Lepisosteus oculatus: one gene and its partner. The protein of the gene in region 1 purifies or fractionates together with the protein of each later gene. This does not show direct contact. Links are inferred from orthologs where the notes say so. Each region holds a gene or a part of one and is shown on either strand. Other genes may lie near its edges. The genes, in order: zinc transporter ZIP11 and membrane protein FAM174.

Evidence for each region.
Region 2: the proteins of zinc transporter ZIP11 (region 1) and membrane protein FAM174 purify together in Homo sapiens (co-immunoprecipitation; 3 studies listed by BioGRID and IntAct, counting the BioPlex papers as one, with this or other methods). This does not show direct contact. The link is inferred for Lepisosteus oculatus from reciprocal best matches to the Homo sapiens genes SLC39A11 and FAM174A.

What each region holds. Positions count from the first base shown.
Region 1 is NC_090704.1:40,024,152-40,040,846, forward strand, and holds the start of zinc transporter ZIP11, read left to right. Parts: upstream 1-8,560; 5' UTR 8,561-8,640; intron 8,641-11,232; 5' UTR 11,233-11,241; coding exon 11,242-11,349; intron 11,350-13,742; coding exon 13,743-13,781; intron 13,782-16,695. Other genes in the region: somatostatin receptor type 2-like, read right to left, coding at 876-1,919. UniProt on the Homo sapiens protein: Zinc importer that regulates cytosolic zinc concentrations either via zinc influx from the extracellular compartment or efflux from intracellular organelles such as Golgi apparatus. May transport copper ions as well.
Region 2 is NC_090698.1:55,258,643-55,274,933, forward strand, and holds the start of membrane protein FAM174, read left to right. Parts: upstream 1-10,089; 5' UTR 10,090-10,417; coding exon 10,418-10,782; intron 10,783-14,089; coding exon 14,090-14,221; intron 14,222-14,684; coding exon 14,685-14,697; 3' UTR 14,698-16,291.

The DNA of each region.
Region 1 (16,695 bases):
CTTAGGGAGCACCCTAATAGTGATATCTTTAACCCTGAGTTCCATGTCCTGCTCTCCCATTGCATGTGCACAGGCAACCTGAATGTTGCTAGAGAAGGTGATTTCAGGAATGTATGCAATATGTGCCTGAAAAAGCATGTCATTTGCTTAAGAAGTGACCATGTAAGTGTATGGATGGATGTATGGCAAACAAGGCAGGATTAAAGAAAACATCTTCTAGAACCAGAGAATATGCAGAGACCATATCTTGACTTTTCTTTGTCTTATTTATCCCGAGAGTGCTACAGTATTGTGAACATCTTTCTTATTGTATCCATTTCATATGCTGCCATCACTCATATTCCCTTGTTGCTCAGTTGCTGGCTTCTGAAAGACAGATGGGGAGCAGGAAAGCTGGCATGCCAAGTAATTTGCAGTGTTGGTGAAGTAATGACGCCCTTAACGAGGCATTTCTGTAAATGTTCTTTTTTGTGTTAATACTGAAACTTGTTTTGCTTATTTTTTTCTTTCTGTGTTTCAGATACATAAATTGATGTGAATTAATAATACAAATGCAGCTAATGTGACACTTTGCAGTATGAGACTAAATACAGCATAATAATACTAAAACATAAAAATAAAATTTAATGTCTGTTGATTACAGCATATCATTATTCACATGGATTGTTAGTTACAAAGCCCTTTCAAATGAAGTCTGGGAAAAGGAGTTTCAAAATGTAAAACAAATAGTTTTAGCATTAATACAGACGTACAAAAAGGCCAAACTTTGGAAGTGAGTCAAAGGGGAATACTAAAAAGATTATAGGAAATATAATCCAAACCAAAGCTGGTGTCTGTGCATTCTCAAAAGAGCTCAATGTTGCAGGAGCAATTATCTACACCATACTGATCATCTCCATTCCACTCAAGTCATGCAAGTCATAGCCATCGGCATTGGTGTCAAAATGGAGACTTTGGGATCTTTTCTTGGGACACAGAAGTGTGTGAAAGTGTTTCCTGAATTTTTCAGAGAGACAGGCATACAGTATGGGGTTAGCACAGCTCCAGGAGTAAGACAGAAGCACAACAAATTCAAAACCCTTTGCAAAGGCTGGTGTTAAATCTTCTGGATGCCGGAGGAAATAGAAATTGAAAACATAGAAAGGCAACCAGCATATAGCAAAGACCAACACCACAGCAACAACCATCTTGGTTAGTTTTTTTTCTAGGCGCTGGGTCTCCCTATTCTGAAATCTACTGATGCCAGACTTTAAATTGACCAGCATTGAAGCATAACATGCTGTCATGACAATAAAAGGTAAAGCAAAGCCAAGAGTAAATGTGTAGATAATGAAGGTTAACCACCACATGTCAAACGACCCCGGGGGATTTAAAGAACACGTACTGCCTATCACTGTGAAATGGACCGCCATGGGTAGAACAGGCAACAGGGAGAAAAACCACAGAAAGACACTGATCATCTTGGCTCTCCTTGGGGTACACCATTTGGAGAACCTGATGGGATTGACCACTGCCATGTAGCGGTCAATACTCATGAAGGTCAAGCAGAATACACTGGTAAACTGGTTGATCCCATCGAGAATCATAACTAGCTTGCATGCCAAGTCGCCAAACACCCAGCGTTGATGGAAATTCTGCAGTGCTATAAAGGGCATCCCCACCATAAACAAGCCATCTGCCAAAGCCAGATTGAAGATGTAAACTGTGGTGGCTGATTCCATCTTGTCCAATTTCAATATGGTAATGATCACCAGGGAGTTCCCAGCAAGTCCCACGACGCAAACGCCCAGGTAGAGGACAGCCATCAGTGCGTCAAACAGGCAGGTCTGAGGGCCGCTGTCACCGTGGAGGGGATCGCTCGAAGAGTCGAAATGAAACGGGCTATTCTGATCAGTCACTGATGTGTACAAGGATTCCATTTTGATTTTAATCCAGGCTTTTTATTTTTAAAATAAATGTGGTGAAAATGTGTGTCACAAAATGAAAACAGAAGCAGGAGTGGTCCTGTGCTTCTTATAGTACCTTATGTCACTGGTATTCCATGGTTTGGAATCACAATGTTCAAACAAAAAATATAAAAAGCACTTCATAACAACCTGTTAGGTCACTCTCCTATCCAAAACACTATAGCTGCTTCCAAGTCAAGTGCACATATACCAGCAAAAATGCAATGTTTACATTAATAGAAATAGGTTTAAAAAAGAGAAAAGTACTCCATTGATGAACAACTTTGTTTCTCCAACAGGATTTTTCCTTGTAATCTGAGAGGTCTTTATTCTCCAGAAAATGTAAGGTCAAAAATCCCCCCAAAAAGGAGTCTTTTACAGTCCTGATATAATTGATCTTTCACTTATCATTTTAATTTGACAGAAATTCAAAACATCCAGTCTTCTTCTCAGTCCCTTGTCAGTGCTACTGGCTGCAATGATTCCACAGCTCCCAGCTCACGCTGCTTCAAAAGTGCAGATGGTTCTGGCTATTCCAAAACTTTTGTTTCTGTAATCAAACATTCTCGTCGAAGTGGTTTTCCAGCTTTTTTTTCTACGCATAGTCCTGCTGTGAGTAAAAAGCAAAGCTGTGCAGCAGAGGAGCAGCTGCAGAGTACTCTATTGCCGTCCTTTGACAAACATAGCTCTTCAAAGGATGGTCCTTTACCTCTGGCTTTGAATTTATTCAAAAGTAATCTGTAAATAATGGCATAACTGCTCAGTTCTGTGAATTTCTAAAGCAAAAACAGACCAATACAAAGAAGCCCTCAGCCCCTATTGCCTCGGTCGGGCATCATTGACGTAAGTATACAGACGAAACACACTGGTACACTGTAAACATTACAACATACCTTTGTTATCATAAAATTAAACTGTCTGAACTAAAAAGATGACCAATTAAAGTCCCTATATAAAAAATACGGAAAAATTTATAGGACTTTTAAATAGTCCAACATTCCTACAGAAATAGTCATTCTTCCCTGTGGAACACACTTTTATGACTCCCTGTAAATTCCACGATGTGCTTTGTGTGGTCTTGCATGCAGCTCTGGCTTTCAAAAGACACCCTTATGTTTGTTATTCTAGATCTGTCAGGGGTCTTGTATAAATAAAGTATCCTGCAAGGCATGAACTGTTTTAGTGTCCCAGAGTGCCAGCCCTGCTTTGGCAGGAAATGATTACTCTGACACCTCAACACTAAACCATCCAGCCCTCTTTAAGGCTTTTTGCAGCTGTAGTCCTGACACTACTTTTACTGGGCATACATATTGCTGATGGATTTCTTGAAGTTACCACCCTTTTCCCCTGTGAATTATTTTTAAAATTCAGGATTTCTAGATTTTCTTCTAAAGCAATGACCTTCCCTTGCTGGTGGTGTTGTAAGAGGTGTTACAAGGAGGTAGGCTGAATGAGCTGTTGGTCATGGCAAACAGCAAATGTCCCACTATTAGACTTTCACTATATTGCAGCTGTAATGTAATGCAAAAGACCAGGTTTTATGGTCAGCATGAAGCACACACCCCTTTGAGACAGACATCTTGTGAGCCCATGTTTGTGTTTTTCAAAGAAGAGGAACATTAAAATCCAGTTTTCAATCCTCCTAACCAAAATAAGGGTTTTTATGGAGATGATGTACCGTGAAAGGTGCTAGATGAAATAAAGGTTGTAACTGTGATTATAGTAACAGAATAAGGAGATTGTGAAGGAGCCGCCAAGCTGTTCCCACCCATCCATTCAACTTGTTTCACATGCCACAACTTCCACAGTGTCCGAAAGAAACCAGCTAACCCTGAGCTCACAGAACTCCACTGGAGTGAATGCTTTTACTTTTTTAGCAACACTGGACTCTTATTTTTAACTCATTCGGCATTCCACTGTAGTGAGTAGAAATAAATTCTGAATATGACATTTTAAAATTCCAGACTTTTCCAGCCATTGATTTGCCAGTCCTAAGGAGCTTAACATACATTTACAGACAACACAGCATTATCATGTTCTACTGATGTTTTAAAATAACTTTCCTTTTAAAAGGTGTTGTATCCAGATCTACTGTAGGTGTAAATTGAAGAAGAAGCATGATTCACATTATACCTCTGAAAGGTACAGACTGGTTGCCTTCTTGCAGACTCAAGAGATTTACTAATGAACAAATCACAGTTGTGTGATTATACAAAGTCTTTCTCCAGCTGTTCTGTGCAACAGAAGAGATACACTTCAAAGAGTCTTATCAGTGTTAGTGGCAGGTTAATAATATTCCATACGTATATCCTTATGGATAAATTAATTTTGAAAATGCTATACAAGTCAGTATTCTTCCCTAGTGACTGTTGGTTACTGGCTTATGTTAATATAGAAGTTAGCAATTATTAAAAGATAATTCTTTACAGAGTTTAAGCAGGGCTTAATGGTTGTACAAACTGAGCACCATAAACACATTAGCTTCAGAAACCATGGTTCTAGAATACATAATGTGGAAACTAGTGAGGCTTAATGAGGTAAAGTCGTCTCACAGCTCTGTACATTACAAGATTTGTGGCTTGAAATATTTCTTGTTTCAGTGTGGTGAAAGCACCAGGTTTCTAAAACAGTAACTTAATCATACTAGCTGGTTGATGGCAGTTTTTGTGTTTATTCAGGCTTGAAACCTCATGATCAATAGACAGGGCTGTAGATGTCAGCACAGAAATCCATACAGATTCACATGAAACCAAGTGCAAAATGAGAAAATCACTTTTGCATTTTATGTCAAGTAAACCTATTGCAGTCTATATTCTGATTTATTACAAAAATAATTTAATTATTATGGACCATGCATTTTTGGTAAATTTTCTGAAAAGCTGTGAAAAAAGCTACATACATTATTACAAACAGAAGAGCTGAATTTACAATTCACAAGATCTTATCAGCAACAGCTATGAACAAGTGTATTTGATCAAAATATTATAGGAATGACATAATTCTGTGTTGTATATTCCAGGCTGAATGAATTCAAGGTGTATCTTAGTTCCAGCCTTAATTTGTGTTAAACTGCTGCTTGCCAAACCCGGCTTTGGAGAGGATTGGGAATATCTGCTGGAGAGTAAAAGATGGGTTGAAATTGAAGGGAGCCTGTACAATCAGGACAACATTGACGTTTCAGTGACACAAAGTGTCCAATTTACTGCTTCACCCATACTGCATGTCAGGCAGGCATTCCAACAAGATCTGCTGATAGATGGCTCTAGTGGTCCACTTATTGTCTGCAGGGGATGAACCGGTCAGTTCCTCCATTGATGAAAGCTGTCTCTATTGCTGTGTATCATGGTTGAAGGATAGTGAAGACAAAAGCTAATTTCTCAGAAGTGGCTCTTGTTACAGTGCAAATGTCTTGTACAGCCTGCTACCTTGCCACATGTATCTTGGAAACCAATGTTAGATATCATCCGTTTTGTATTATACAATACCAAAGATACATTATGCACAAATCAACCCAATTGGTTAGTACACCCATGAGTCATATGTTCTCTATGTCCTTGACAAATAATACATTATTTAATTAGTATGCTAAAGGTTTCGAGAACATGATACTGATAAAACATTACAGGGAGTATCTTTGTGAAATCAGCCTGATGTCTTTTAGGCAAAGTCATGGGTCTTCATGAGGTGGCTTAACAGATGTTGTTAGTGAAAAATGCATTAACCAAGCGACCATGAGTCTGGATGACTCAGAGGCATGGCAGGGGATGTCAGAATAAAGAACACCTTGTCAATACCTAGTAAGTGATGCAGTTACAAGAAAAAAGACATGTTGGCCTGTGTGAAGCAAGTCATGATACGTTCTCAATCAATGGGGAGTACAGCTAGGTTCTCTTCTTCCTCAATCAAACATTGATCCAGCCATGTTCTGTCATTCACAACTAAATGTGGCTGTTTTTATCTACCAATACAATCTACAAGGACCTTCCAAATTTAGATAACGTTCTAATTCTTTCCACTTTTATCACAGGGCTTGAGACATGGTAGTAACACCTTTTAACTCCATTACTTATTGGATCAAGTCCTTTCAAATGCCAACAGTGTGAATTTACACAGTGGATTATGACATTTTCTTGAAAATAAAACTTTTTGTCCTTGTAAACCCAGAGAGTCTCTAGGTCCTACTAGGTCCTGGTCCTTCTCTCACATGGTTACAACCTGTGATCAAATCCGTGATCACAGAGCTTAACCTCTTTTCGGATGGTCACATTTACTGTTTGAACTTCTAAGGAGGTCTGACTGCCTACTTTGTTAAGGGAGCGATGCATTTCTGCCTTCACTGGCTGCCCTCCAGGCTCGATGCCCTCATTAAATCTCTGTCCGAGAGAAAGAAAATTATTATTTTTTATACTCAAAAACATAGTTCTTTTCTTTATTTCCTTTCTTCACACATTCTGAAATCCTAAATTATCCACTCCTTATCACAGCTATGCCTTTTTAGATCTTCTTAACATGCTGTGCTCACAGTACACAGTGACGCTTCAGTTTCACAGATACACTGTATGCCTTTGGAAAACAAGGACACTAATATATAAAATTAGGACAAAACACCAACTGCAGCAGAGACAAAACATGACTAAAAACTGCACCGAAGAGCCCCAGTCAAGGTGAAACTAGTCTGTACAAAATAAATGTGACTGCTTATTTGTTAATGGGACGACTGAACAATATAATAGAATCAGTTTACTTTTTTAACTTTGGGACTAAGCAATTAAATGAAATTTTCTGGACAGCATGTTGGCACATTGGTTTGCATTGCTGCCTTGCAGCCCTTGAGCCCAGGCATACTATCTGTCTGTGTGGAATCTTTATGTTCTAGTCATGCTCGCACGCTCTGGTTTCCTCCCACAGTCCAAAGACATACCTGTACTAGTAGATGAGTTGGCTTCTGGGAAATTTAGCCTTGCTGTAAGAGTGTTTGTGTGTGTCTGTCCTGTGATGGACTGGTGCACCGGCCAGAATGTATTCCGCTTTCAGCTCATTGCTTGCTGGGATAGACTTTGGCTCTCTTGCAACCCTGAATTAAAAGGAGCAGTTACTACAAACGGATGGATGAGTGTTTACATATATACATACCTTCCTCTATAGTTTTTGAATTTTGAATATGGAAACTAATAGCCTGTATTAACCATTTGGTATAAGATAAATGTAGTTTATATTCTAGTCTCCTCTCTGTATGAAATAACAGTTTAAAATAAATGCTGATAAAAAGGATCACCTGTGCTCCAACAGAGGCGGACAAAACATTAACTTCTCCCTGCTGTTAAGAATCACAGTACACTACACAATTCTTTCTTAAAAGCAGTTGGACAGCAAGCCCTGGAAATGAACGACAGCTTTGCCAATGTAAACCCGTTTAGGGTTTTGACATTTATTAATTAATGTATTTTGTCCTTGGAGCAGATGACTAAAGCAAGCTCTCCTATTCGCCAGTAGTTTATCTGTCATCTTGATATTCCTGCTCCAGCTTTCCTTTTAAGAAGATAGTATTACCCATTAATAATCTTTCCTTAGCATAATAAAACTTACTTACAGTATGACGTGCTGTACCAACCAATACCACCGCCCCCGACATCCTGTTAATTTTAGTTTTAATCTGAATTTTATTCTAATGGTTTGAGAATTCGTTTTTCTTCTGAATCCTGGGAAACGAATTTCTTAATTAAGACCGTTTCCAGTTTAGTTCAGTTTCGTATATCTACAGTGTAACATTTAGCACAATCAAATGGAGAAAGTAATTCAGAACATCTTATAGGAAAGCTCACTAACTCTGGGAAATTCCGCAAAAATACGTTAAATGTATTGTATTAGCAAAGAGCACTCCACAGATTCGGTATCGTCAACTTTAGGGATCTTGATACGATTACCGGAAAACACTTTCCTAAAAAATGCATGCAGACAACATCTGAGAACAACAACAACAACAACAACAACAACAAAATAAACCCAACTCATGTCCTAAAATGTTTAATTGTCGAAAATAACCACCCAGCTTTATTCAGGTAAACAATTTTTTGTAAGTGTTTTGAAATGTTTACTTTTCGGTAATTTCTAGTTGGAAGTCATTCTTGGACCGTAAGCGTTAAGTCTACATTTCAGTAATTGTGTGTGCTTAGGACGATGACGTAAATCAGAACACACCTTTGTAATTGATGTCACAGGTAACTCTTAAACATGTCTTTAATTTAGAGGTCTCAACATACCATTCTTGATTAAAGGGAAAAGCAAAAGGTGGTTTTTAGATTGACGCATATATGGAAAGTTATCGCCTATAATTGTGTTTTGCAGAGAAACAAGCGTGGTTTTACTTTTTACATTCCACATAGTATGAAATTAAATACAGAATTTTGAAAATAGATCAAACCGTTAATGTCTCGCCGCTGTTAAGAACCATACTACACTACATACAGTTATTATTTTATCAGAGAATAGTTGGACACCAAGTCCTGGAAATTTCGGAATGAATGGCGGCTCTTACCACCAGTAGAATTAAAGGAAAAGCTTATTGCTGAGTCGCGCTACATTAGCAGCCAGTAGCAGTTCGAGATGGGCGGTATTTGGAGGGTTTCGGAGACACGTGTACAGAGAAACAGGAAGTGAGTGCAGTGGACTTTCAGTTGGTGAATGGTTCATTACAGTAAGTGCTTATTGTGTTTTTTTTCTGTTTAAATGTATTAAAGGTCACATTAAAGCGTTGACACATTGCACATTGTTTATGGCGTATGTTTTTCCTAAGCATTTTCAGTCTAACATTGCCCCCCTGGAGTGCGTTTAAATCCAGGTAACAACCTGCTTGCACATTTAAGTATTTTAAACTTAAACAATTAGTGGCGAAGTGTATGATTCGATAAGCATTCAGCTGTGTTGTGGGCTTTCTAAAAATGAGATAAGTTATTACAGATCACCTGAATGCAAAACAATACACCACCTGTTTGAAAAATGAACTGGTTTTCAGAATACGGGTTTGAGCAGAAGTTTGGATCTGTTTTCATGTATCCTCACATTTCATTCAGCTCCTTATGGTCTATCATCTGTAAAGAATTAAAAGTACGAGGAAAACGGGACGCTTGCGGCACTATCAAATATGTATTTGTTAAGCTGTTAAATATTAATCAGGGTCCCAGATAAAACCACACTTGTGCATTTTTAAGTGAATAACCTGTAAGGAGCACACTAATTGTACTAAATGTGGCTTAAAGTCTGTTTCACAGTTGCAGAGCAGAGAAACAGGATCTGTGGGCTTTCAGACAGGACAAAGGGAACTTGTACAGCAGGAAAGCTGCATCATTTAACACTTTTGTTTCATGTTGACATTGTGTTCCTTTTGTTCATTAGTGACTAGATCAACATCTTAGCCTTCCCTGCCCTGACTAGAAGTCAGACTTGTTCAGCACTATGTTTATTTTAGGTGAAGGATGTTAATACTGCTTATTAAGTATTCTTTTCCAGAGTAGACCTTGTATATTTCTGTTTGATATCTTCGATTATTTTATCTGATAAGTTGTTTGTGTCCAACATGATATCTGGTTTCTTTCCCTAAATTGGGTTCTTTTGCATTTTTTGTGTCTTACTAATAAACGTTTAAAGAATTATAAAAAAACAGTTTTCTTTATTAACAAATTAGGTTCTTGTGAAACAAGAGGAAATCTGCCAGAAACCAAACATGACCTGCAGCATTCACTTCATGAATTCCGATCTTAGAAGGGCAGAGTTTGTATCATTAGAGGAGAAAAGAATGAAGAAATTCAAACTGCCAAATACCGTCCAGATTTAAAGAACATGATTTTTTATAATGCAAGAATGTATAGTGATTCACAGTAGATGTAGATTTCATTTCTAAAGAAATCTGTTAGGACTGCCAGATGTTTTGTAATGAATTGTACACAGTTGGCTGCACTGTGCACAAATATTCTAATATAAAATGTATTATGATGTAAAGGGGTTGATTCAAGATGTCACACTGTATATACCAGTATTGATTTAAAAGTATTTCTGCTTAGATGAGGATTTGCACTTTGATGAAATTTTGCATCATTCAGTTAATCCAGAAGTGAATGACATGCGAGGACACAATAAATTAGAGCTGCAACCCTTCGTAAGCTTACAAGCAATTTTCATTGGCAGAGCGTGTGCGAGTCATTAGTAACCAATTGTTTAACTTAAATCAATTAGCATTCTGTGGGAACAACATCAGGCAAAATCACTGCGCCTTCAGTGAGGTAATTTTTTCAAAGTGCAGTGGAGTGCGAGGGCAAATATTTTATTCATAACCTGCAAATATAATATGAACTAGATGCATGCATCATGGTTGTTTGATCGTATTGTGCATTATTGTCTCTTCAGCTGTATTGTATGAAAGGTCCTCAGGACTGGATACCATCATGGGGAGGGAGAGGGGGTGTCAGTGTTGCAGAGTCCACAACATGTAGGCTGCACTGGGTGCTCTGCACAGTGGTCTTCAACACCTCTTCATAACTGGTCTTTAGAAATATTTTATAGTTCTTAGCAGCCTCCTTCAAAGAATCTCACTTAACACTTGTTGCTTGATTTGTTTCCAGATGAATCTTCCTGTGCAAATTTTGTTTTGCAAAGTGCATTTTTAAAAACACTTGTCTAAACAAACGCTCTATCCACAAAACTCCTCAATCATGTCTAGTGAAAGAAGGAGAGGTTTGCACCTCTATCTCCCCTCAGTTCACAGCATGTCATCCAAATATGAGGCCAAGAAAGACATTTCAGAACCCCAGTTCTCTGTTCTTCATGTACTTATGTGAGCAGAGGCTTATCCCTGAATTTGCAAGCAAGAAATGTGCTTGAGAATGTAAATTTCTTCAATTTCATTGGTTTAAGTAGGTCAACACAGGAGGGAGCCCAGTTCAAGGAATCCTTTGAGGACCCTTTAAATAGCCTGTTTTGTGTAAATAATTAGAGCAGGCATAGTCTACTCTCTTTCCTGAGAGACAGAAATCTTTAGCTTCTGTGAGTCATCGCCTATCATTTTGTACCTGGAACAAATGACAGTTGTCACCAATTAATGTTCATAATTGAAAGTCAGTGCTTCAGAAGCACTAGGGTTGCCCATGTTATGAGTTAGAAAGCGTGACACAATGGAGACGGAGATGGAGACGACAATTGGAGACGTCAACAGAGAATGTTTACAGGCAATCTGAACTACTCTTTAAGTGTTGTGACCCTGTTCCTAAGATTGTGTTTGTGTGTGTATCTCCAGGTGGAAAGTATGATCCCAGGTTACAGCCCAGTGTTCCAGGCCCTGTTGGGAACTCTCTTCACTTGGGGGCTCACAGCTGCAGGAGCTGCCCTGGTCTTCATTTTCTCCACAGGACAGGTGCCGTTTATTACATTCATCTTTATCGAGCGACCAGCTTCTGGGGAAACTGAAATACATTGGCAGCTTCTTATTTTGAAGCATTACTGCATGCCAACGCAAAGCCTCATGTGAGGGCTTGATTAAAGCAGTTTTACACACACTTGCAGTGAAAAGAAGAGGCTGGTTTTGTTGGAAAGATTCTTGCCAGTACTCCGAGCTGCCTGTTTATTCCCATTTGCTTTCTTTCAGGCCAGCTTGCTTGAGTGTTTTTGATGTAGGAGTTGTGCAGACTGCTTAATAGCATGCACAATACTGGATACTGGTGCTTTGCTTTAAGCTCCATGAAGGGCAAATGAATACAGTTCATGGTAAATTACTTTCATTACCCTTTCCATGTTGGGGTATACGCAGTAAATACCAGGCTTCTTTCATGGCTTTGTTTTTGTAGGTAGAAGACCTGTTGTACCTATTTGATCTTATAGAGCAGCTGTTTGCTTGCCTTCACGGACTCAAGATTTGCGTGTGTGCTCCTTTTTGTCATCTGCCTTGATTTGCCTTGACCGGTTTGCAGTTATGCCAAAGTGTGTTTACAGTATACAGAGTCCAGTAATACTAAACTGTGCCATTTTCTTGCAAAGCTTACCAAACACCTACTGTATAACAAGTTTGAAGTACCAGAAATGTATGTAAACATGCGGCTTAAGCAGCTGTACACAGAATTTGGATGAAAAAAACTCGATTACAAATTATAAAGAAAGAAGCTAATCTTTTTAATATTAGAATAGTATGAAGTATGAAGTATTTTCCTTTACCCTATAATCATTGCTATGGTAACTCTATGCATTGTAAGACAAACTTCATTGTTTTTTTTTACATTTGGAATATTTTGTTGTCTTCTATGAATTTGGCATTACTAATGTTTTGAACTATTTTCTTAAAATATATATGTTGTTCTTTATCCGTCTTTATAGGACTACTGTACAGTAGTGGTTCTATAGGTAACTGGATTAGGAGGGAGTGCTTACCCTGGTCCCCTGGCTTAATTCAGCTTCAGGCTTGCACAGTCTTGTCTCCCTAAATCTCCACCTTAAATAATAATAATAATTGCTTACACTTATATAGCGCTTTTCTGGACACTCCACTCAAAGCGCTTTACAGGTAATGGGGACTCCCCTCCACCACCACCAGTGTGCAGCCCCACCTGGATGATGCGACGGCAGCCATAGTGCGCCAGAATATCACCACACGTCAGGTATCAGTGGGGAGGAGAGCAGAGTAATGAAGCCAATTCATAGATGGGGATTATTAGGAGGCCATGATTGGTAAGGGCCAATGGGGAATTTGGCCAGGAAGCCGGGGTTACACCCCTACTCTTTTCGAGAAACGCCCCGGGATTTTTAATGACCACAAGGACCTCGGTTTTACGTCTCATCCGAAGGACAGTGCCTGTTTACAGTATAGTGTCCCCGTCACTATACTGGGGCATTAGGACCCACATGGACCACAGGGTGAGCACCCCCTGCTGGTCCCACTAACACCTCTTCCAGCAGCAACCTTAGTTTTCCCCAGGAGGTCTCCCATCCAGGTACTGACCAGGCTCACACCTGCTTAGCTTCAGTGGGTTGCCAGTTGTGAGTTGCAGGGTGATATGGCTGCTGGCATCAGTTGATCTGCTAAATCAGTTGATGTAGCAGTTCTGTGTGTCTCCACCTGAGCTGGTGCAGTGCTGCTGAGGCATAGTGACTGCTGTGTGTCACCCAGGTGGATGCTGCACTTCAGAGATGGATGAATTAATTCCCCTCCTATATGTGAAGGACTTTGGGATGCAGAGAGCTGCATAAATGACTTATCATTATTCCTTAGTTACCTTTTCATCTTTAGCCTTTTTAGTTTTAAAGCTGGACTAGAAAATCTTTTTGTGAGTTGTGCACCAATATTAACTATATTACATATAGTTAAAAGGAAGCCGTAATCTAAAATACTTTAAGAATGGGTGGTGTTCTGTTTTAATTGTATTTTTCATAAGTTCCAAAAAAACATTCTGCCACATCCATTCCACTGATACCGAGAATATGTATTTTGATAAAATGCATTTTTTACAAACCAGATTTAATAGCTCTGGACGGGAATCCAAATTGACAAATTCTCTGGCAAACTCTGAATGGGATTTCAGGGAATGTGTTGCACAGTGGGGATTCTGTCAATTATTGAAAAGTGTAAGAATCACATTTTTGGTTCAGGTGCTGATTGGGGGGAAAAAAAAACAACAACCGTTGGGTGCCTTTTTTATAAGTGAAAGAGGAAGGATGTTTCACTGTGGAGTCTTGAAAGATATGTTACAGCTTTTGAAACTTGAGGTTTCATTGAGGAAACAGATGGTTGATGTAATTTTTCTTTTTTTGCCCCCCCAGAAAAGAATCCTGGATGGGAGCCTGGGGTTTGCTGCGGGGGTAAGAGCGGCGTCCTTGAATATTTTATTCTCCTCTCTGGGTGAGATCCTTCGCAAGCTTCGAAATTGAAATCCATCTTTTTTTACTAGGAAGGAAAGGATTCCCTGTTTATGCAGTATATAAAGAAGCCTGTAGTGGGACTGAACCGGTATTTTGTTGTTGTGTATTGTTGTGTAAATGTATAAAACAAGATGCAGAGAGTTCATTTGGTTCAAAAGCTCACAGGCTATTGGTGCAATTTTCATTTGCGTTGGCAGTGTACATGCTATCTGATGTCTGCATTTGGTATGGACTGTTGATCTTGGATCGAATGCTGTGGTACTCCCTATAGGTGCACCTTTAAAATGTTTTTCTTTTGGCCAGATCCATAATTTTATTCTTGCCAGTGTGTCAGACACTTGCTGCACTAGTTTGCATTGTGAGGAATGTGTGATGAGTCCGGAGATCCCAGTCCTTTAAAAGTCTGTTTCGTACTCCTGCCCTTATTGTGTAATGGCTGGTGCTTTGCCGTTTGAGAATGTGGCCTTTTCACTTAAAAAGTTTAATACATTTGACTGAGGTACCCAGTGGCATTGGATGGTCTAACTAAAATTATTTTTATGGTCATGGGTATCTGAGAAGGCTTTGTACTGTATGTTTATTGGACAAAATACTGGGAGTTCACATTCAGGTTTAAAAAAATCTGGCTCCATCATACATCTCTGAACTCCTTCACTCCTTACACTCCCTCTCACAGGCTCCGTTCCGTTGAGTCTGGTCCTTTGCTCACTGTATCTAGGACTAAAATCTCAGACTTTTGGTGACCGTTCCCGTTCTGTTGCTGCTCCTTTGTTATGCAATGCCCTTCATCAGACTCTACAAGGCACAATATCTTTGACTCTCTTCAAATCCAAACTCAAAACTCATCTTTTTGCTAGGGTGTGTGTGTGATTGCCCTACAGTTTCCCTTCTATATCTGTATGTTCGTGTTTAATCTTGTTATTTTAAGCCACACTGCTAACTAACACTGTGAGGGCCTTTATATAAACCAAAACCTTAATAAATTGAAACATTCCTTTAATCACAATTAATCAAGAATGTGCATTCTAAGGCCTTAACCAACTAATTAACTAATATTCACCCAGTGTGTCTGGACTTGAATAGCACTAGAGAGACTTTCACCACCATCTGTGGTCAGAACAATCCCCAGATCTCAATCCATTTAAATTGAAGCAACATGTGGCTTACTTCCACATGCCATTAACTTATTCACAACAGCAGGGTGACTTTACTAAAAAAAAACAGGATAGATCACTGCACACACAGTATTTTTTTTTTATCTTCTTGGAACACATGACACACACTTTCTTTGTTTGGATCCTAATATAGTATATCAGCAGGTGAATGTTTAAAATGCTGTTGAAAAGTGTCTTCTAGCTCTTGGTAGTATTGCCATTTTTCACACCTTCTATGTGAAATTTGATACTGACTTTAGGTCTTGGGCGTGGGCCACTGAGGATACCTACTAAGATGGTCACAAACCTGTTATTTTATTTTTTATTGTTAAAAGTGTACTACATGGATTGTCAAAATGTCAAGTTTAATACGGCAGGAAGCATATTCATATTGGCTTTGAGACATGAGACTTTGAGGCATGACAACTGAAATTAACCAGAAAGTTTGGTATCTGATTGTGTAAGGTTCAAATGCAAGAAAGTGACTTTATTAGTTTGTAGGATAACTAAACGTCGGGAAGGATGAGCCTTTAAAAGAAACGGATGGTGATTTTAAAGTGTGATGTGGACAGAGATTCACAAATAAGCACAATCATATTCAAATGGTTTGAAAACCCAGTGCTGAGTATCTGCTTCTCTTAGTGACTCTTATGTTACCGATCTTTTGGGCATTGTCCATCTGACAGTTTGATACAAATTAATAAACCTCTGACACATTCCTAAAAGCCGAGGGAACATTAAACTTTAATAGTTTTATCCTATAAGCTAGTGAGTCAAACTTTGTAAAAAGGGATTAGGTGTAATGATCATTTACTTAGGAAATATTATTTTTTCATTGAGGGAATTCAATGTTCACAGTGACATTTATGTGTAAAGTCTGAAATTTTCAAGTGAAGATTTATGTGATGTATTGAGTTATAATATTTGGTACATTTAGGCCTTTATGAGACTTAAAAAGCTGTTAGGAATAAAATTACTGGCAGTGCAGTGGATAAAACCTTTTAGTCCTTGATATTGGTCTATTTAAATTGAATTCACTGAACTGTATGCAGCAGGCTAGCAGTCTTTATGTAGTGGTGGTTTCAGCATCCTGCATGCATAATGTACTTAGACTTAGTGGGAAGTAACCTTTATCTGACAAAACTACACTTTTCATCTTTATGGATACTTACCTGTTAATTAGACTTGTATGAATGTGTTTCCACTGCAGTGTTGGAGCCTTCAAATATGTTTTAGTTCCTGAAATTGCAATAACCTTAAATCTTAAATATGTAATGAATTGGCTATATATATATAAACCACCTCTCTCTGGGACCCAGCTGAGTTAAACACCCGATTTATCCTAGAGATTTATCCTAAATAAATGCTTATTTTATATTTAATAAGTAATGAATTAGAATTATTGATAATATTATATCTAATACTGTTTACAGCCTTCATGTTTAGATTAAAATCACTCAACAAACAGATATAGAACCAGTTGCTGATTTATGTAAGTGGACATAAAATTAAGATGGAGTATTCTTTCATCACAATTATAGATGCACTGATTAGACACTGTACTGTTCTCAAACATTGCTTATTTTGACAACTAAGGCATCACACATAAGGCGCTGAAATCTCACAATCAAATGAATATGGAGTACCCTCCTTTCCCAGCACTTAAGTTTCCAGAATTAAGCTGCGGTAAGTTTCACTTG
Region 2 (16,291 bases), on another chromosome or scaffold:
TGATGGATAGCATGCACTAGAGCACAGGTCAGATGTGCCAAGCACAACTAGAAAGACAAAGGAATCAGCAACTAAGGGAATGGTAATGTGGCACTGGTTTGCTGAGATCACGGCTCTGAATGTTGGGCTTCTACCATCTTACTACTGTGTTGACCCTACCATAGCCTACATGCAGGATGAGAACAATATTGAAAAAGGCTGAAAGAATTGCCTGAATTAGAGGACTCACGGCCGGTAAAAACCAGACAGGCCTATAATGCCCTTTCCATTCAGCAGAGTCAGGTATCATCAGGCAAAAACTATTTAAATGAAATATGCGTTATTACATAGGAATATCGGCATCACTTCTGCATTGCAATAGGGGAGAAACAACAAAACAGCAGCAGAAATATGCTTAATTACAATTAAATGAAAAAATATTGGGTGACTGCTGTTATTTTTGTTTTTGTTTTATTAGTTTTAAGACAGAGCCAGGCTAAGCACCAAGATCAATCTGCTAAGAACACTTCTCAGCAAAAGCTTTTTGAGAACCTACAGTAGGTGCAGTTACAAACAAAAAGAGGCCTTTTCCAGTAGCTCAATGATCCAAGCATCTCATCCAGCCACTTCTTGAAAAAAAACAGGTGGTCAACTTCAACAACATGGCTGAACATCTTGCGCCGTACCACCCCAACCTTTTGTGTTAAGAAGAATCTCCTGTTTTCTGTTTCAAATTTAGCTTCCACTTGGATCTTCTTAATCAACTTTTAAGTGTTGATTCTGGTCATCCACAGTAAATGGGCTTTATCAATGTGTTTTAGGGTGTGTTTTAGAAAAATTGGACAGAAAGTTTAATAGTAGAATCACATAACCTTCTCTGTTTAAGGTTAAGAACATTGTTATTATAGCCTGTCAGAGCAGGACATTCCTTTGAGCCAGGAAACATAAAAGTATGAGGTGGCTGTTCTCTGGACAGATATCATTGCAGTGATATGTTTATTGTGTCTTGATGACCAAAAGTATACACAATATTATAAATTAGGTCTAACTATTACCTTCTGCAATTCTAACAAAGCATATTTTTTAATTCTACACTTAATGCCATATATTCTATCATTCATAGTGTCTAGTAGATAAACATTATGTGTCCAAATAAAGTCATACAGTAAGTCTTTCTTTTAAGCAGCCCTTTCAGGCTCACTGTTTCCCATTTTATATATGAGTTTATGGTTTGCTGCCTCTAATGTACATAACACACCACTCTTGTTTACATTTAATGCAATCAGCTAAGTCTTGCCCAGTCTTCTATTTAGTTTAAATATTTTTCAGTATCTTTTGCAGTTTCTGTAGCATTTGCATATCCTCCTAGTCTGGTGTTATCTTAAAATATGACTGCTTTTCTCCCTATACCAAAGTCTTTTTTGACATAAATTAGGAAAAGCAGAGGTGCTAATACGTGTCCGTCTGGTAAACTCTTAAATATACACCTCGTACACCTTGATTTACCACTTATCTGCACCCTTTGTTTCCTGTCAAATAACCAATTCCTAATCCAAGTACAGTACACGCATTCCCTCGAATATCTGCAGCCTTGGGAATTAATTTTTCATGAGGAACTTCATCAAAAGCCTTTTAGAAATCTAAATGTACCGTGTCATTTCTCTCTTGCATTACAGCTGTTTCTTGAGAACTCTGACAGGTTATTGTTTCCATATCCTTGCATGTAATATAAGAAAAGATTTATTGGTCTATAATTACTTGGTTCACTCTTTGTAAGGTCAGGCGCTATATTAGCAATTTTCCAGTCAGTGGGTATTACTCCTGTCTTGAGAGACTGTTGGAAGACTTATGATAATGGCATATGAATACCATCTCATGTTTCCTTAAGTACAACAGGAATAATACCATCAGGCCCTGGAGATTTATCTCAAGTGCTTCTAGTATCTGTAATTTGTCTGCCACTTCTATGCTAATATTATTTAATATAGGACCTTGTGTTTAGTTAGACTGGTAAGTTCTGTGTTCCCTCTTTGAAAAACACCTATACACGTAATCTGAAAGTTTCTTATTTTTTCTCTGAGATGCTTTATTTAATTTTTTTACTGTTCCTTTACTGTTATAATACTAAAAATTATTATTTGATGTAGATGTCCTAGCTTTTTTCTATTTTCTTCTTCTTGGTCTCTAATGCCCCTCTTAGCCTGTAGTTGCAATTAATTATACTCCTTACATTTAACCGGATCCCATTCTTCATTAAATGCTGTCGTTTACTGTATAAAGTATACTGCTTTTTTCCCTTATATTTTTCTTAATTTATTTATTTAACCATTTGAGCCAGTGCTTTCCTGACTTTGATGTCCATGTGGGATGAATCTTGTTTTGTATTTCAAGAAAAATGTTTTTTAAGACTTTGAAATCCATTTTTTGCTGATTCCAAAACTATTTGGAAAACTGTTTGGAGATTGGGAGGAGAGGCGGGAAAAGTCAAGAAAGCCCAAAAGCTAGACCTGGTATTGAAGTGAACTTCTTTGAATGGTTTCAGACTCACAGTGTTTATTAACATAGCCCCACAATTTTCTCTGTACTGATTCTGTATGAATAATATTGTTCAGACATTGGGAAACTATACCCTGTACACCTGTACAGGCTGATACCACACTGGACCAGCCTCCAGGCTGAAAATTCCAGCTACAATCCCAGCCTCCATGCTGAAGATAAACTGTGCTGCTACCACATCAGCTACCCTAACACAATGCAGGCTGTTTATTTTTTCAAATACAGCTACTTAGCTGCAGATCTCAGCCACATGGCTGATTCCCAAGCCTGCAGGACGAAGACCAGCTGTGATGCCACTGCTCTAGCCTCTCTATCATAGTACAAGCTGTTGATACAAAAATAGATCTACCAAGCTGAAGGCTCTATTTTTGTATCAGCTGCCTCATAAGCCTCTGGACTGAAATGACTATGCAGGCTGCTGGCTCAGCGACAGATCCACATGGCTTAAGACTACAGTCTCTTGGCTACCTACAGGCATCAGACTGAAGACATGTGCCTATGATGCTGGCTAAGCCAGGACAGGACATTGACTACTCCTGTTGCTGTGTCAAATACAAGCCAGATTGCACACTGTTCTAGCAATAAAGAACAGTTTGACTTAAGGACTGGTGTGTGGGGTGCGTCTTTGTAGAACTTTTGCCCCATGTGGGAGCTTCCCCATGTGGCATCACAATATATTGTAAAATTTAAAAACAAATGGTAAAAACAATTACAGTTTTTGCTGCAAGTAAAAGAAAGATAAGTAAATCACAGTTTATATATTTGAATATATTATTATCCTATAATTTCGGATGTAGCACTTTCATGAAACCTCCCAGGTGCAACTACCAAATCTGGGTACTTTAATTCATTTCAATTTGCTCCTGCCAATGACTGGAACAATCTGCAGAATTAAACATAAAATATCTTCTGTCATGTCTAAGGGTATTCTGTGCTTAGATCCTGTTATGGTGTTTACTTTTTATTGATTGTTCTTTTCTTTCTACTCTGCTTTGCCTTTTGTGCAACAATGTTGTAAGACTCAGTCTGGTTCCCATTGTAAATGAAAAATTGTTCTCAAGTGACTTGGCTGTTTAAATAAAAGACTATTATTATCAAGCCAGATTTGCAGGCTGCAGGAAATTTTGCAGAACTAAAAAGGACAGATCCCTCTTTATAAGTTCTTTTTGGCAGAGCAGCAAGGAGCTGTAAGCCAGTGTCTGTAAAGACCTAAACAGTATAGTAGATAAAGTAGAAAACTATTTATTGTACAGTGGGTGCTAAAGAGATGATACTATGACTAGGGTGTACCGCACCAGTCAGGGATATGGGATGTGCAAAAACCTTACCAAAGATAGTGTTATACAGTCCCTGGATGTGACTGATCACTGCAAAACTGTCAATTGACAACTGAAATATGACTTTCTGGCAGGTCTCCATTACAACACTATCTGTCATAGACATTCAGTTCCAGTGAGTTACTATGGATATACAGTACAGTAGCAGAACCTGTAGAGTGAAGCAGCGGAGGCAAACACTTTATTATTGTTTTCAGTGACTGTGTAACCAGATTTCCAGAAGCCTTTACTTTGCACAGTGTCAAAGCCTAATGCATGCTCTTGGTTTATTTATCTCAAGGGCAAACATACAAATAGAAATGATCACAGACCACATGTACAAGTTACATTTAGTTCGCTGAAACATGTTTAGCATATTTTGGGTATTTACCATATGTACTTTTCACCATGCCATAACATCCATTATGGCTGATGGGCTGGGGGAGCATTTCAATCAGACGCCAAGAACATGTGTGGATATTTTATTATCGGCAGAGACTTTCAGTTGCCATATCTGTGTTTCAAAGTGTCTCAAACCTCTACAGGATTCACTCGTGTTGAGTTACATTATCCCACCAGGGTGGGAAAGCCAAGAGAAGCCTTTTGACGTCTTCTTCCAATTTGCTTCTTATATTTTTTTTCATATCTTTAGATGTAAGCAAGGGTGACTTGTCCATAATTCACTGATTCTGTTTTCTCTACTTTTTTATGACTGGATAAAATAATTACAATTTTCTAATCAGGACACACAATTAACTGCAATAGAAGTCAATTGATTTATCTTACCAAGAGGGCTATACTGTAAATAAGGTGTGTTATTCCTTCAGGTCAATAAAAACCATCTGGTTTTATTTGTTTGTTTGAACCTTTCTTCAACCTGCAGCACTTTATTAATTTACTCCTTTTTGAACACCTGAGTAAATGAATCATTGAAATCCTTTACGTTTTCTATGCTTGTCTTTTATATTAAAACCATTTGTATCTCTATGACACCACTTCTTTCCTTTTCAGTCTTTTGCTGTTGTAATAATGTAAAAAGCTCTTGGACTTAGTTTTGCCTCAAAATCTGTAATCTTGTGTAGTAGTCCACTTTTCTGCATCTTGGTCCCTATAAAACATTTTTCTTGTTTTACAGTATATTTTTCTTTCGTAATCTATTGAACCATTTACACCAACAGTTCTGGGCCATGATTTGTCATATCACCCTACAACTCACAATGGGCTACCTACTGAACTTAAGCAGGTGTGAGCCTGGTCAGCACCTGGAGGGGAGACCTCCTGGGAAAAACTAAGGTTGCTGCTGGAAGAGATGTTAGTGAGGCCAGCAGGGGGTGCTGTGGTCTATGTTGGTCCCTAATGCCCCAGTAGAGTGATGTGATTAATTATATTAATTTTATCGATGGCTCTACAACTGAATTTTAAACCTTTAGCTGTGTATACCTTTCTGATTCCCTATACAGTATATTCTCAAATCCCTCTGTTTCTCTAGTATCATAAACCTTTCCTTAAATTGCCTTTGTTGAACGTTGAAACATACTTTGAAAATGATCATGTTGTGTTTATTCCAATGCTTCTCTTACTTTTACCTTTTTTACTCTATTTTGGTTATTTGAAAAGATCAGATCAATGCAGGCTCTAATCATTCACCATAGCAACATAATTTGTGCCCCAGTTGATTTATCCCTCACTAACCTATGGTATGCTAAAGTCTGTCTTATGGTTGACATAAAGAAATACATCTACAGTATGTGTTCCTAGCACCCCACTCTCACAAAGCAACAGGTATATCATGTTTAAAGCCTATCCTCCCTTAGTACACTTTTGTGAATGACAACATGTAACGGTATATTCATGCATCTCATTAAAGTCTAAGTACTGCAGAGTCCTTATCAGTTTCATTCTCATGGGTTGTACAGATGTGACAAGTTAAGAATATTATAAAACACATGTAGAATTTTCTAAATATGGAATTGTAATTTGTAAATATATTGTAACGCTTACGGCCGACAGGTACTGTGTAAGAGCCGGCTTACCAGAGCAGGTGACGTCACCGCCCTTCCCAGTAACAGCAGGACCACAGCCCCTGGGCTGTAGAGAGATCTCTCTTTGGCTCACTGGGCTGGTTCCCTGTTGAGTGACGCGGGAGTCCAGGGTTTGCTAATGCGGCAAGGGTGCCCGCCTGAACTCCCGTTGCGTTACAATATGTAATTTCACAGGCAAAAACATACTGTACAATGATTATATCACAAAAAATCTTTCTTTGTGATAATGTGATAATAGTTTGAGGAAGCCAACTAAAATGTATTTTGCCTCGCACATAAGTATCCAAAAAACATAACTAAAGCGTCTTCTTTGTTGGCAAATAGAATCTCTTTAGGCTTCATCTCCATCTAAACAAACGTGTTCTACTTTTGTGAAAATGGTGAGCCATGTCTTCATGTCTTCAGTAAATTCATAATATTTAAGTATGTAATAGATCTGCAATATTTATTTAAAGGCATTTGCTTGATGGTGAACCAGAATTATAACCATAGAAAGCATTTTAAATGCAGGATGCCCTTGTACTACTGCCACATGTGTGTTAGGTTGATAGTAACTTCAACAGGTGATAATCCCACAGTATATTTACAGTATATCTGATATGATGTCAAATGCATGGTGTCCTCTAAAGTCTCTCACTTGCTGGAATGTGCAGTTTGTATAAACAGATAAAACCATTCCATTAAAATTGGAATAGAGAAATATTATATGTACTTTTAATTTATATTAATCCAATTGGTAATGTTAATAGTATCAGATATCAATATTATTTGTGCCCCATCCTGTTTACTGTATATGAAGTAAACTTCATTTTCAAGAATAAAAAATCCAACAAATATTTTCAAGAATAAAAAATCCAGCAGAAACCAATCCAATTAAATATTCTACAGAACTCAGTACTGACAGTTTATATCTTTAGGATATTTTAGGCAAATTAACGCTGTTCCAAAAGGCAAGACGCCTTGGTTGCATAGAAACCTACTGTACTACTATAGTGCTACTGTAGCAATTGTTATTACTTTATTGCCTGAATTTTTAATGAAAAAAACTGTTTTCCACATAAACTGGGATATAGTGTTCAGATGCACGAGACTTGGCTAGTAAGACTTGGCTGCTACTAGTTAGGTTCGCAGGATCATTGTTTTAGATCCAACCACCACAGTTAAATGTATGACTATATTTCTTAACCAGGTTAATTCATAATTATAAATATCACTGTGATGCTGATCTATAATAAAACCAGCAGGCAGCAGTACTATACACAGAGCCACTGTACCTCCCAGTTGAAAACTTGAACACATAAATTTGCCATGAGGTAAATATGTCAGGTTCATCCGTTCAGTTTTACAGAGGGTTATATTTGCCTAACAGGGGGATTGGGGATACTGCATTTTCTGTAGCACTGCTGTCTCACAGCCGTGGGAACAAGAGATCACTTTCTGGCTAAGCGGCTCTATCTGTGTAAGGTCTGCCTGTTGTCCTCATGTCTGCATTGGTTTCCTGCCACATGCCAGAAGCATTCTGATTAGGGTAATTGGCCACACTAATTGGACAGCGTGATGTCATGTGTCGGACAGGGCAAAATTAACATAATCAAATCCCTTAGTAGGGAGGCATGATGGTTTGCAATGCTGCCTTGCAGTGTTAGAGCCCTGACAATATAGTTAAAAAATAGTACTTTGTTTTATAAAGAAAATAATTCATTGAAAAATAAACGATTCACTTACTTTTGGTGAGGATAAAAAAATAACCCCTAGATCAGGAAAGCTGGACTACACTAAAAAATATCTCAAAATATCCTGTTAACATAGTAGAAAACAAATAATTTACTTGTATCAAAAACACATTTGTTTTTCTCAAAGTTAGAAAAGTAATGCCTTGTTATTTTTCTTCCTCGAAGCAATTCCAGACTTGCCTTCTTGACAATATAAAAATGTAAACAACCTCAGAGTACCAAGTCTTTCTCTTATTTGTATATGTTTACGTCTCCTTCCCTAAATTAGAAAAATAAACTACAGGAGCTTGTTAAGCCTGTTTTATCTTCCTGCTTCTCCTTTCTCTTTCAGTTTCTCCCATGGAGTGATAAGTCTCTTACTTAACTCTTTACATTTTCCTTTGCCCTTCTTTTTATTGTGTTTCCTGTGCTTCACTATAGTTTAGATAATACAAAGTCCTTTCTTCCAACACACTCTCTTTATGTCATTTTCCAAATTGCATACTCACTGAAATCCATCAAATGTAAATTGTGTACAGTGGTGCATAATGAACCACTCTCTCGCTGTCATCCCTGTCATCATCATAGTCCTGTAATGTGTGCACACCTGTATAAATAGCTTGTTCCCCTTCTGATACCCTTGTGGCATTCTTTGTCACAACATGTCTGTTCTGGCATCTCAATGTGGTCAAAAGTCTCAGTGAAATCTATGACACTCTACCCAAAGTACCTCCCATTCAATACAGTGCCCCTAGTGGTATCACTGGTGCTGTCTGTGTGGAGTTTGTTTGTTCTTCTATTGTTCATGTGTTTCCTCCAGGTGCTCCAGTTTCTTCCCACAGTCCAAAGAGATACTGGTAGGTTAACTGGCTTCTGGGAAAATTAACCCTGATGTGAGTACAGTATGTGCGTGTTTGTTTCCTGCGTTTGTACCCTATGATGGATTTGTATCTCATTCAGGGTCTATCCCGCCTCGCACTCATTGCGTGGCTCTGGCTTCCATCGTGACGTGACCCTGTACTAGATAACGCGGCTTAGAAAACGGATGGATAGAAATCCCTTAGTATGATAAAGAGTACTAATTTCACCCCGTGGCAAAATAAAAATATGCTTATGCAATATGGAAATACAGGGACAGAAAGCAGCCTTATTGTTGTCCGCTCAATTACAGTTGCACCTCATACAGTACATACACACATACACAACATAGTTGTACCTGAACCTGAATATTTAGTCTTTTGACTTTTCTCTGTATCGTGGTGGCATCAAATACAACCATAAATGACAGTTCTTTTCCTTTCACAAAATTCAAAATGCCGTTGTGCAAAATGTGTGGCAGGACAATTTTGTGGTCATACTGTACATAGCTCTTGACTTTCCCCTGGATGTCAGAGGAGGCTATACAATATTTGACCAACCCGGCTCCTGCGGCCTGGATGAAATTAAGCAACAGGCCACATAGGTTTCCCACCACAGCATAAAGGAACAGACAGACAAGATGCTCTGTTTTATATGTTGGATCCTAGGTTTTAAACTTTAGATAGTGGACAAGTGAGGTTTTGATAGTATACAGATGAGAGCACAAGACTTTATTTAATACAAAAGATGCATTGTTTTTTTTTTGCTTCCTAAAAAAAGTAAAGAAGTGAATCTTTGTGTATAACTACAAATGCTTATCCTATAAACAATTTTTTTCAGGTATCCATTTTAACTGCCTTCAAAAAGGCACCAGACGTGGGGACCTTTAGCAGACCTTTCCAGGCAGAACTATGTGAGACAACCAGAATCAGTGAAGCAAACAATGAGAAAGAAGAAAGAAAAACATAGTTAAACAGATGGACAAGAAGTCTTAGCCTCAACAGTTGTATTGATTTTTTTTCAGTATCATTTAATTAGAAAGAGAAGCATTATTTCGCTAAATTGCTCTGGGTCAATGTAATACATTAGAAACTCATTTCATGAGGCACTGTGATGTTGTTTTTTATATTCTGGCATATTTCCATCTGCCTCTAGATTATTGTTATTCGTTGTTTAATTCCTTGATTGATTGGGAAAATTACACATTTAGATAATAGCAGGCTCCTGTTTTTCCTGACCTTCACCAGGAGATTCTGATGACGGGTAGGCAGATAAAACTTTTCTTAACTTTACACATATATTCACGTATTGCATTCTGTTTTTTAAACTTGATTTTGTGTTCTTTCTTTGGCTGTTTTACTATTAATCACGCTAACTGCCTACTACTGGAAAATAAGGTGGCACATACAGATGCCACATGCAGTACACATCTCACATCTTTAACATTTCTTGTTGTTGAAGCATTGTAGACTAAATTATGTGCAGTACTTTTAGAATATCTATTTAAAGATATTTTAATAATAAAGAATGTTTACAGTACTTCAATTGTCATTGTCAAAGACTAATCATTTTAGGTCAAAGACCAAAAAAAAAACATTTGCAGGATATTTTTCTTTCGTTTGTACAGTATGCTTGGGTCTTGTGACTTTGTGAGAGCTCTACCTAATTGCATTACTAAACAGACGTTGCTGCTTAATTTAAAAAGACTCATTGCAATGCTTCTGTGACCAAACACGTTTTACAGGTACATCCGGGTGTCTTCTCCTCAGTTTCTGAAGCCCATCAATAGCAGCTCCCGCAGGCACGCAGGGAAGATGATGTCACACTGCGTAGCGACGGTAGGAAGTCAACGCATAAACAATATGAGGGAAATAAGAGGGAGTTGATTCTGCTCTGTGTGTTATAACAATACGTCAGTGCTGACAGAAAAAAAAAAAGAAAATTATTTTAGGACATGGGTCCTGAAAAGACACGGGTCTTTAGGGCTAGTTTGTTTGTATGCATCTTACTGCCTGTACTTTTGCCTCCTGTTGCCACAGTTGGCCCGTACAAAGCTCCGTCTACAAAGATCCAGGTGGGCATCAGCCAAAACACCGGCAATGCCAGCAGCGGTAATACCAAAATGAATACGCACACAGGCTCCGTTGGAGTCAGGGAAGGCAAAAACAACAGTACGGGCGACTTCCAGAGCACCAGCCGGACTGTGGCAGCGGAGCTGGCCGCGAATGACAGCAGACCGATGTCCATTCAGAGGGCACTGTATGTGCTTGTGGCTGTCAGCGCTCTTGTCATCGTTTATTTCGTCATCAGGACTGTCAAGTAAGGACTGCATCATAGTTTTCCGATTGCCTAAGCTACTTTTCTGTTTTCTTAGATGCTTTTGTAATGCGACATCCTCTTTAAAAGCGGCGACAGAGTTGCGATGAGGTTTTTGCTTTTGTTTTGTTTTCACAAATCCTTCGCAGTTTTATATCGCTGTTGTCTTTTGCAACATCGTAACATTTTGGATTTAATTATTTTTGTTTGGTACTGGTTCAGAACACTCATCTGAACATGGGTTGGTTGAACCAGTTACGGGCATTTTGTGGACACGGTTTTTTTCTTCTTCTTCATTAAATTAGGGGCTTTGAGAGTAAAATTTAAAACCGAACGATCTGAAACATATATTTTTCAGTAATGAGGCTGGTGCCGATTTATACCTTATTATACTAAACTTACAAACAAAACTGCAGTTTGAACTTTAAAGAACTGCCTAAAGAGGAAAAAATATCTGTAACCTGTGTTGTGTGACTCCTGTCCTCTTAGAAACTATTGCCTTGATCTGGATTGAATTAATGGAAAGGTTTCAGGCGAGAAAAAGACTAATCAGTGTTGATTCATTTATCTGAAATAAATTGAAATTGATCTGCTTGCCCACAAAAATAAGCATTTTTATTTATATTTATCTGCTTTAAGCTATGTATTATTCCTCTGTTGTATTTAGGACTGTGTCCTAACCACAGTAACAGTATTCATAAAACAGCGTTCAACTGCAAGACAGACTTGTGAAACACAGAAATGCAAATACATTCAATACCCTTTATAATGCTGTATTAATCAACATGTAACAATACATCTCCCATACATTTTGAAATGTATTGACTACCCCTATGTGCTAAGGAATTTCACATTATAAGTTCTGGCCATCTTTTAGTATCCAGTTAAAGTAATGCTACAGTACAAGTACAAATAAAAGATATCTTGTATATACTGTACATACTGTACTGTATGCAAAATTAGGTGCATCTTCTATTGTCTGTAACATTATGTATGATTAAGTCAAGTGTGGTTTCAAAGTGGTAGACTAAACTACAATGCCATTTAAATCAAGTTGAAATCACATATTTATTTTTCCACATGGTCACTTTTAATACATTTTTACTGCTTTTTAATTCACTAAATAGGGAAGACAAAAGAAGTTCTAAGATGACTTTCCAAAAAGTGAAAATGATATACAGTGCCAAGAAAAGCTTTATGAACTCTCTAGGTTGGTCCATATTTTTGTATATTTTACAACTGCAAAGTAATTAAATCCTCATGTCCTCTTGGAAGTCTCAATAAATTATAAAGCAAACTTCGTTAAACATGGAATGCAAAGATATATTTGTATTATTTAATTAAAATAACCCATTGTGGGAATACATTAGGTTAATTAAGATTAGATTCATGTCAATAAATTAGATTCAGTTTCTGGCAGCACCTCCTGAGCAGCGATGACTTCAGTTAGACATTTTCTGTAAATGTTTATCAGTCTCTTACTGCTTCAAGTCCCTGATATTTCAGGGTTTCCTTGCGTGAACAGCTCGCTTCAGGTCATGGTACAACGTTTAAATGGCCAATTCGAATGCAAAATTTCTTCTTTAGCCATTCTGTTGGAGACCTGCTTGTATGTTTAGGATTGTTGTCTTGTTGTATGACCTCTTTTCAGATCAGCTTCAGGTGATGAATGGATGGCCGGGCATTCTCCCCCAGAATTTGCCAATACAGTGCTGAATTAATGGTTTCATCAAAGATGAGGGACATCAATTGTGTTGCAAGGAAGCATTTGGTTTTCACAACACAAAACATTTCTAATTGTAGTAAAAAAATTCAATTTTTGATATGACGGTCCAGACAACATTCTTATAGCAGTATTGTGGATCAACCAGGTGCACTTCAGCAAACTTGACATGGCTGACATGTTATTGTAGAGAGCAATGCTTTTTTCCCCATGACATCCATATCCTTCCAGTTTTATTTCTGATGGTTTAGGCAGACAGACACTTACAGATCCTTAGATGTTTCTCTGGGGTTCTTTGTGAATTCCTCGATGATTTACAGGATTGTTGTTGGCAGGACAACCTGCCAGGTCCTGGGATAGAGTCACTGTGGTTTCAGATATTTTCCATTTCCCGAATGGATTAATGGAGCCCCAGAAGTTTAGAAATGTTTTAATGAATTCTCTCCAGATTGATGAGCATTAACCGCTCTTTTCCTGAAGTCCTCTGAAATTTATTTTTGATTGTGTCGTGATGCGTTTCCTTTATCCTGTATGGTGTAAACCACACTCTCAAAGTTTCTGATTATTTTTAGACATTTTAAGACAGGAGTGCCCAAACTCGCTTCTTTTATTTATTCATACCAATGCTATTTACTTGTGCTCAGTAAACTAGGGTTCACTTATTATTTCACATACACTGATTAAGTTTTCATTTTTTTCTGCTTCATGTATTTTTGCATCTAAAAAAATATCGGATTGGTAAAATCTTTTTAGGTTATTTAAAATCCATTTCAATGGTAAAATGGTAAGAAATTGTAATTCTCCATTGGTTTTACACAAACCAATTCATGGCACAATATTACAATTCATTCAATTGATTGTAGGACATCAGTTTGCACAATAAAAAATGAACTCCCAAAACACAGACACCTCTACTTAGGAAGCAAATAGGAAAGTCTTTAAATTTAATTTTCATTACGTGAAAACTGTCCCAACTGATTAATGTACTCTGGAGTGGGCACTTTGCCCACAGTTTGCCCAAAGGAAAAATTAAACCTATTTTGATATTAATGACTAGAACTTGAGGCTTTATTTTTTCTGTTATTCTTTTCTTTTTGTTTTATCCCTAAGCCTTTTTTATTTTGTCAGAAAAATGTATTAGTGTTAGAAGAATGAAAAATGTTAGTACTATAATTTCTACAGATGTACACTTTAACAGGGTTTTGATACCTCCGTATTGTACTTGAAATTCATATTGAAATTTGCTACTGGTTACTTTTATGAACATGCTAAAGTAGATTTCTCGGCTGAGGTCTTATACAGTATGTGCTCTTCAAATACTGCTACTGTGGCAGGTTAAGATAATTTTGCTCTCTTGCCTTGCAGTCAGAAGACTTTTTTTTAAAGGATTAGTAGCACATTTTGGAATTCTGTCAAGCAATACGTTCTGTAAGCGTGTTCCACTGCTAGGATGTGGCATGTAAGTGTGGAGCACTGTGAACATATTGTAAAAATGAAGCCATGAGGTTATCATAGTTAACATCAAAACCACCATGTGTTTGAAGTTTGCGTGTATTTTGTACTGAAGATCTTTTCTTCTTAATTCAGAATGAAAAAGAACCGTAAAACAAGGAGGTATGGAGTCTTGGACACAAATCTTGCCATGGAAATGACACCATTGGAGCAGGACGAGGATGAAGACGATGATACCACATTGTTTGATGCTCGTATTTCAAGGAGGTAAGCATGATTAGGATCGGTCTGTGTCTTACTGATTACACCTTGTAAGGTCATTGAAATACCTTTCTAACAGCCTTTGTATGATATAGTCTCATAATTTTGAAAAATGTATTTCTAAAAAAAGAAATATAACTTTTAATAAAGCATCCTGTATTCATGGAAGTTTTTTTTGTTAAGCTGTTTAGTGCTTCTTGTAACTCAAGACTGATTTTTGTGATGCTGCTAACTCAGTATAATTGTGTACCTTTTTATAAGTAATGGCTGATTTATAACATATTAAGAAGAGCGAAGTCTGGAGTATTGGCTATGATTCCTACCAAGTTAGAATAATGCTTTGAGTAAAGAGTCTACTGTGACTCATTATGATTTTACTAAATATGATATGCCCCTATGGTTATATTTCAGAGCACACTTGCTAAGCACTGTACATTAAGAGAAACAACTGTGCTTTCTTTTGTTCTAGAGCTGTAAAATGATACTTGGTATGTAAATCAGGGCTGTCCAAACCTGCTCCTGGAGGGCTGGCGTTTCCATGATTTTTATTTCAAATCAGCTTTTAATGAGCTAAACCAGATGGTTTCTGGCTTAACTGAACTCATTTAACAGCATCTCCAAGCTATTCAGATCCTGCAACTTTCGAGTGACCTTGAAAATCTGCAGACACTTTGGCCCCCCCAAGACAAGAACTGGACACCTCTGGTGTAAATACTTCATCTTCCAGTTATGAAAGAGGCTCTTGTCAGTCACACATTGAATGCAGTGCCTATAAGTGGGTTTTTTTTGTTTGTTTTCATAAAAACTCTCACAATGCGCTTCTAAGACTGTGACAGTGTGTGTCTGTGGAAATTGATTTCTGTTTATTTAGTTGATGTTTACAGAAAGGGAAGTCTGGCTGTAGGTATGTCCTAGCAAGTAGCAAGAGTATGATTTTCCTACCCTAAATCCTGTAAGTACTAAAAGGGACTGACCCAGTCCAATGGCAGTAGCCAAGTGTATGTGATAGGTAGGAATATACAGTATAGTATACTGGCCAGTTCTATAGCTGTATCTGTCCCTGGCCAGACTACACACTGAAGTGATCTTTCATACAATACACACATGATATTATTTTGATCATTTTTTGTTAAACTGCTTTAATTTCTACAGGGACATTATTTAAAAATGTAAGAATTATTATAAAACCAAATGGCACCAAGGGGAGTATCAAACCTCTAATAATGTCAATCAAAATTTGATTCATATATCTTAATTTGATTTTTGATTTTTGATATATGATTGATTCATATACAGTATACATATTGATTCATCGAAATATAAGCTACTGAGCCTCCCTTCCAGGGGAGAGTGATGTTCCCTGTTTGTCTGGTGTCCCTGGTTGGATAGGCTCTGGCTTTGTAGGAACCCTAACTAAAATGATTTAAATGAATGCATTTTGCTTTGCGCTGTTATGAAAATGAGGCCCTAAATATGCATACAATGTTATACAGAAATACCCAAACTTAGCAATGTTACTGATTTCAGCAATGTAGGATCATATGTAATATAACTTATATAACTTAAACATAATTTTTTTTTTAAATTTAAATGACACTACTCACCACCTGTGACTCTTAAATACATTCGTATATCTTCATGACCAGGGCTCCCCTTTCTTCCTTTTTTGAGGTTTTATTTGTGCAACAGGTGACCAGATTATTCTTAATTGTTACATCTACTGTACTTTATCCATATGGGATTACATCTTTTTAGTGCCTTTTAACTAATAGTAGAACCTTGTTCTTGTTCCCTTTTTTTATGTAGTAAATGTTTTAGTCTGAGATGTCTTTACACTGTCCAATTGTTAGCCTTTAAAACCAAGGTGCGGGCAACATGAGTTTCAGAATGTCAAATGTATTGTATTGTAAAAATACAATTTGATAAAAATTGAACAAGCTGTGACCTCATTACAAGAAATACACCCTATATAACACCTGCAATGTAATTGTCAGTAGCTCAGGATGAACAGGATGCATCCTAGCCTTTGTCACAATTGTATGGGTCATGAAATTTGTGGAAACCCAGGAAAAATCA